Linked DNA regions of Neurospora crassa OR74A. The protein of the gene in region 2 purifies or fractionates together with the protein of the main gene of each other region. This does not show direct contact. Links are inferred from orthologs where the notes say so. Each region holds a gene or a part of one and is shown on either strand. Other genes may lie near its edges.

Region 1 (3,045 bases), on a different chromosome or scaffold from region 2:
TTCCGAAGCCAGAAGGCTGGCAAGATCAGTCGGATTAGAAGGAGGCGAAGAAGAAACAGTTCTGAGGGTGTGGGGATTAAGGCTTTATGTTGGGAAAACAGGTCTGCAAATAAAACCAAAAGCGGACATTCCCTAGAATGTATTATCGTTATAATGACTTTTTCGTTCTCAATTGGTGGTACAACCCAATTGCCTGGAAACATGGACCTATAAATGGGAAAGGTTGGGCAAAAACGAAGCTGCCTGTTCTGAGTGTTTTGATGGATAGGGAAGGGCTATAAGGGGCGTTAAGGAAATCATGACACAATCACTTAGGGTTAGGTTCGTTGTTACCGACTGCTGAGATAACCCTGGTATTGCCAGGTGTGAAAAGGCAAGCTGACAGCAACACAGTTGGTCCAGTGTCTCCGTCCTTCCCCGAAGTATTTCGTCTTCGGTGTTGTATCATCTTGAACATGGCCAGTCTTCGACAGTCGTAATACAAGGAATATGGACGCCGATATCCTGTCATGCACCTTTTATTTCCTTATAGTACACGGACACATAGTTTAGGATGCGGAATGATGAACTACATGGATGAAGCTTAACCACCTCCACCACGCTCACATCACATCATCATCATCCTACTGCCATGTAACCAGGGGGGGTATCATCTCAATTGTGCTCTGTTGTGCTAGCTGCTTAACCAACAGAGGCCTTCTTGGGCTTCTTGGTACCGTACTTGCTACGACTAGACATACGAGTAGCAACACCGGCCTGTTTTATCACCATTCTTTGTCAGCACATCATTTTCACAAACTAAACACTCATCTTCCCCTTTTTCTCCTTCTCTCCCATCCTCCATCCAGGGGTCTCCATCTAGGGATTTTTCTTCTCAGGAAAAAACTTACCAAATCCAAAGCACCTCTAACAAGATGATACCTCACACCAGGGCAATCCTGGGCTCTGCCGCCACGCACGAGCACGACGCTGTGCTGCGAAATGTTGTGGCCCTCGCCGGGGATATAGGCCGTGATGACCTTACCCGTGGAAAGACGGACACGGGCAGTCTTGCGTTCGCCCGAATTGGGCTTCTTGGGACGCGTGATGCCGACTTTGACACATACACCCTTGAGCGCGGGAGACTTGATGGAGGACAGGGCGGGGGAGACGGCGTGGCGAGCACGTTGGGGCTTACGGCAACCCTGGAGGAATGAAGATAAGAGTGGTTAGCTTTTGATCAGATTGAATTGGACGCGGGACATAGGGCTGTGGTAGTAGCACGGGAACCAAAGTGGTGATAGGTGCATAGGTAGGTAGAGGTAGGCGGGTTGGGGATAGCCTCATCATCATCACTTACCCTCATGACCTGGTTAAGAGTGGCATTCTGCGCCGGAGTGCTGGAGAACAACCGCGCAGCAGCAGGAAGGATGGAAGAGGACGATGGCATCAGCGGCCGTCGTAGCAGCGACGGCTGCGCCTGCGAAAACAAGTTCCGCAAGAAAGTCGTCGCCATCTTGTGATCTTGTGGATCTTGCTGATGGCGGGATGCTCCGAAATCGTCAAGTTCGGTCGGTCGCGGCGCGCAACAGGACGCGGTACAGTACAGGATAGCGGTTCCCCAGGCCGGGCCCGGCAGGCGCACGCAGGGCCGGCGGCGGCGGGCGGTACCAGTGTGGGAACTTTTTTCGTGTCACGGGATGACACACGTGGAGATAAGCTGAGCCAAGAAGGTAGCAGAGGTACGTACCTACTGCCGTGCTTGAGGGACGGAAGCCATTGGGTAAGCTCCGAGTCGTGTGCGGCAATCATCGGTTAGCTGTGAGCCTTCGACAAACTGACAGTCACATGGCATTTGTTTTCCATTCCCCTTCGTTTTCTGAAACTCGTTCGTTGGCACCTCATCATTCCATTTCTATCGCTCGTCTGGCTCTGTTTTCCCTTCTCGCTCACGATCCATGGTTTGCTATTCGCGATTAACGAGTCACGATCCACGGTCTAGCAACAATGGTCACCGCTCGCCGTGCCCCGTGCCCGGCCATCATCAAGGTCCATTCGAGAGAGAGTGCCCCTCCTCCGATGTCCCGTCTCTACCGTGTCTCCCCCAAATGCATCCCTGTCGTGGCCACCGTTTACCCCGGCCAAGGAAATCTTTGTGGGGAAAATGACCTCTTAAGAGGACCGCCCGATTCGGAGCTTTGTGAATGGTGGAGACCTTACCTCGGCAGAGGGGGAGACACTTGACCCAGCTGTTCACAGCATATCGGCCGTGTGCCGGCCAATGCCATTGACCTTTGTTACCCGCTGGCTTGGCTTTTGAATTACTGAGAGAGAGAGGGATAGAGAGAGCTAACAGTAGAGCTCTTGTCCCGGTTGCCCGTAGGTATCCTGCTATCAAGGTGTACGCACCTATCTCCTCGAATACCGCGTGGGCTTCTGCGATAATGATCTGTTCTGTATATCAAATGCATAGTGACAGGTTAGACACATCGAAGGTGTAGGAGATGCATACGATGCAAAGGTCAAGAGAAATCGGGACTCTCTTCACCTTATTTTGAGCCCACGCTGTCATTGTTGCCTTCCATCCAATACTCCACGGATCATCGTTACGGAGCTACATAAGTACATCTTTCATCTGGTCGTTAGTGTTAGCTCCGCTGTACCGTGCCCAGCGACTTATAAGTACCCGAAGCTCGTTCCATCACACCTCCAGTTCTCCTTCCCCAAGCATTTGATACCCTTTCCGCCTTCTTTTCTTCCATTATCTCTGTCCTCTTCGTTCTTCCTAGACAGCACTCGCGCCAGGTTTCCGATCGGTTCTTTAATCATCACACATACGCATCAGACACAATGAAGTCGTTCACTAGGGTTTTGCGTCCCGCCGTCCGCAGGGCTCAGGCAGTTTCCGCTCCCAGACTCTCCAGAACTCCCGTCGTCCAATGGTAAGTTTTGTCATCTCGTCTCATGCCTGGTCTGGTCTCAAAAGAGATGGGCTGGAAGAGGGAGAAGGCGATGTGCTAATACTTGGTTTCCCGACATAGCGCTCGCACTCTTTCCACCACCTCC
Region 2 (4,074 bases):
TTAGTCAACGAACGCTTCGGGACGGAGGGGTAATACAAGACACGGAGCCGAGGCCGGGGGGCCGGGGTCGGGACCGCACCACATACCAAACCAATAGCTGAATGGTTACTCTCGCATGGGCGGACTGTAGATACGGCGCGGGGGCCCGAAGAAGAAAACGGAATATTCGTTGGTCAACCACAAACACAACAAATTTACGACGAAATTTTTACCGAATGGACGGATGACCGCCTGCCTATCCGCGGCTGGCCAGTTCTTACACTAGATCGTTACTCAACGTCAAAGTACTTTGCTTCTTCAGAGGTTTACTACAGGCTTCCAGGTCCACAGAAACCGCACTTTGCCGTAAGGGGGTGTAGTGTAGAATAGTAAAATATGGTGTAAATCACCAGTCACCACCCATCATGCACCGCACAACAGGGATACCGTTAGTGGGTACCTTGGATATGTAGATGTAAGTAAACTCGATGCGGCTTCTTGCCTTGACTGAAGGTGGTGGACATGTTGATATTGAACACCCCATCGAGAGTGAGGCGGCAAGTCATGACAGGGACAAAGCTAGGTACCTAGTCAAGACAAGGCGAGCCACATATAAACAAGCAGAGCGTACAGAGTGTGAAATAACATTGTGTTCGATGCCCCTAGTAGAGAAGTCAATTTGCTAGTTTATCTACATACTGTCCTTCCTAGGTGTCCCGAACTTAACCGCATCTACACTAATGACGATCTGACTTGCCATGTCCAGCTTGTCTTGACCGACGGATCCGATTATGCTGCTGTTGAGAGACATTTGAGGCGGTCTAGTCTAGCACCTCTTTTGGCAGGAAACGAGCCTCGGACTCGTAACCAGTGAGGACCCTTGTCTTGATGGCTTCAGTTGTACATAGTGTAGTGTAGATTCTTTGAAAGTGCATGTTGGTGGAGGAGGTGGTGGGTTACCTCTACCCTCCCTGGGCCCATCACCAGGATCAGCCGATCAGGATCAGGAACCAGATCGGCTGCAGTTGGAGATCGCGGCCTGTGGGTTGGTGGATATCAAGGTACCATGTTGACCTTGTCCAAACTAAACTCCCCAAACAGGGAGGATTGGATGGAAGGATGGAAGGATACAAGATGACGACGACTGACGGCCAGGTAGGGGACCAGGTTGGGTGATCAACGAACGCCGCCGCGTGGGGGGGGCCCACGTCCGAGTTGCCGGATGGAGTTCGGTTGTTGATCAGGGGAGCTGGGGAGGGGGGGTGGCTTTTTAAGGTTATGGTCTGTGCGTTCCCTCTTTTTTATTTTTCTTTTGGCGGGGGGTTTGAGCCGCAGCGGCGCACCAACGTCGTCCTCGGGAAAACTCCGGAAAGGCGAACGGCTCCAAAAAATTGTTCCTGAAGTCCCGCTCTCCGGGGCTCCACTCGATGCCACTGCCGCCGGCCAAACATTGCAGAGTCCGCCGAGATCACGAGTGTTCGAGTCCCTCCCCCCGGCTGCTTCGCGGGTTCGTTGCGTGCGCGTAGTAGTGTCTGTCCGCCCCGTGTTTGAGTGGTGTTTCCCAAGCCGGCCCGCCCTCCGTCCGCCGCCTTCGTTCTGCCCCCCCGCGCCGTGTGTGTGTACCCCCACCGTCGTCGTCGTCGCAAGCCGATTAGCCAGCAAACTCAACCACCACCATCACCACTACCGAACACCCGCATCACCACCACAAACAAAGATGCCTGCGAGGTTGGGTCTCAGTGCCGCCTTCCGGTCCCTGTCCATCCGGACAAACCAATTGCCTCAGCAGCAATCGATTGCCGCCGCCGTGCAGGCGCGCACCCTCATCACAGATTCCACCACCTCGTCGAGGCTACCACCCAGAGTCCAAATCCAGCAGCAACAACAACAAAGGACACAACCATACTCGACCGAGACCACCCCTCCTCCCAACAGCAACAATGGTGACCTTGCCGGCATTGAAGGCCAACCACCAGTAGAGGTCACCCCCGAGAACGCTGCCGCCCTGTCCCAGTTGTCGGAGATCGCATACGGTGTCAAGGCGGCCGACGTCGCGATCGAGGGCCACAAGTACGGTCTGCCTACGCTGCCGCTGCCGTCGGAGCTGCACCACAAGTACCGCTACTCGGAGGTCGTCAACCACGCTACCAAGCTACTCATGAAGGATGGAAAGCTGAGCAAGGCGCAGAGGGTACGACGGTCCCTCCCCCATATGCCCATTACTCCCACTTTACCTACGGCACCTCTGCTCAAACTACTTTGCGATCACAAAGCTAACACACTATCCTTTTTCTTAACATAACAGGACATGGCCATGATCCTAAACTACCTCCGCTCCTCGCCCCCTCCCAAACTCAACCCCTCGCGCCCTCTGATCCCCGGCCACCCTCCGGCCTCGCACCTGCCGCTCAACCCGGTCGAGTACCTCACGGTCGCCATTGACTCGGTAGCGCCCCTGATCAAGATGCGCGGCTACAAGGGTCTGGCCGGTGGTGGTCGCTCTCTCGAAGTGCCGCAGCCCATCCCGGCGCGCCAGCGCCGCTCCACGGCCTTCAAGTGGATTCTGGATGTGGTCAACAAGAAGCCGAGCAAGGGATCCGGTCGCACCATGTTTGCGCACCGCGTGGCTGAGGAGATTGTGGCTGTCGTCGAGGGCAGGAGCTCGGTCTGGGATAAGCGGATGTTGATTCACAAGCTGGGCACGGCCAACAGAGCCAATCTGAACTCGCCGGCGCTGCAGTTGAAGGGCAAGAGGTTCTGAGGTTGATTGGTTGATTGATTGATTGATGGACACCCTGTTAAGCCAACAACATAGCGAAGCCAAGCAATCTCTGACCGACAGCCTTTTTCTTGTGTATACTAGTTTTTTGTGTGTGTATGGATATGTATGCTCCTACTTTGCTGCTGCTGCTGCTGCTGCTGCTGCTGCCGCCTCTGTGATGGAGCGAAAAAGCCGGTGAAAGGTTTTGGGCTCATTGTGAAGCCGGGTGTCTTGTCTTAGCTTGTTTGGTTACGGTTCTGGCGAGGTTGATGGTGGCCAATGACCCTTGACTGACCATATTCTTGGATTTAGAGGTAATGGACACAAACATACTACGCACAACCTATAGCTACAATGTGGTTTAAAAAAAGGTCAGCAGTGGATCTCAGCCTGGAGTGATCCGGCTAAGATATCGACACACGGGCTGTACAATTTGTATACGAGTTTCTACAGGATTCTGAATACCACGGCTTGTTACATGACGAGGATTGTTTGCTGTCTTGTCAGATGACTTTTATCACGAGCATCGCAGGAGGTCGAATAACTTGGGGTTTCGAATGGAGTTGTAGCAAGAGAGCCGTCAACAGGAGTGATCCTTGTTGCGAGTAATCTTTTTTGAGGTGTGCTCAGGAGCAGCATCGATAGTCATAAGGAAGTAAGAGGAAAGAACTTGATATTCATAACCAGTAGATGATAACTGAAAACCGACCACGTCAATTGAGTTTGTCGGTCACAGAAAGTGGGCTCTAATCACGCTCAGGACGATGCAGTGTGACAAGCAAAGACTAGGTACCCAAACATCCATCACATGCGCAATTACGTCTCCTAGATCACGACCACTTCGACTTATCATTTTACTCTTGTTTTTTCCCTATGTCATCGCAACACATTACATACTTATAGACGCAATTTGAGGTTGTGGCTGAAAAGAGAATCATCAAACAACTGTCGCTGTCTCGTGTGGGGCCAACGGCGGCGCAGCGCGTGGTCTGGTGGATCAAGAAATGCCGAGCATGGGATTCGGTTATTACCCTGACTCAGCTCGGGCAAGCAATGTTGGAACTCTTCTAGCTCGGTCAAAAATGTTCCATTGGAGCTCTTGAACGCAAAGTCCAGGTCCCCTTTCCAACGCCTGAACCTGGGGGCGGGTGCAGAGATCTTGGCGGGAGGCAAATAATCAACCTTAAATTTAAAGGGTACTTACTTCATCCACTTACATGATTGTTCATGTTCTTTGCAACATTACCCAGTTGAGTGGCAGCCCATGCGAAGCGGCGTTGGCTGATTACTCACTTCTACTTACTTGATATCTGCAACTTTCACCAACTCGGTCG

The links. The genes of interacting proteins can lie anywhere in the genome.
Region 1: the proteins of NCU04806 (region 2) and NCU06542 purify together in Saccharomyces cerevisiae (affinity purification with mass spectrometry; 3 studies listed by BioGRID). This does not show direct contact. The link is inferred for Neurospora crassa OR74A from reciprocal best matches to the Saccharomyces cerevisiae genes RSM7 and MRPS12.

Annotation. Positions count from the first base shown.
Region 1 is NC_026504.1:1,584,359-1,587,403, forward strand, and holds NCU06542 (putative mitochondrial 37S ribosomal protein MRPS12), read right to left. Parts: upstream 1,639-3,045; 5' UTR 1,496-1,638; coding exon 1,340-1,495; intron 1,185-1,339; coding exon 891-1,184; intron 757-890; coding exon 682-756; 3' UTR 501-681; downstream 1-500. Other genes in the region: NCU06541 (alpha-1,2 mannosyltransferase KTR1), read left to right, coding at 1-38; NCU06543 (acyl-CoA dehydrogenase), read left to right, coding at 2,830-2,921, 3,021-3,045. UniProt on the Saccharomyces cerevisiae protein: Component of the mitochondrial ribosome (mitoribosome), a dedicated translation machinery responsible for the synthesis of mitochondrial genome-encoded proteins, including at least some of the essential transmembrane subunits of the mitochondrial respiratory chain.
Region 2 is NC_026506.1:887,727-891,800, forward strand, and holds NCU04806 (hypothetical protein), read left to right. Parts: upstream 1-1,314; 5' UTR 1,315-1,696; coding exon 1,697-2,170; intron 2,171-2,284; coding exon 2,285-2,740; 3' UTR 2,741-3,574; downstream 3,575-4,074.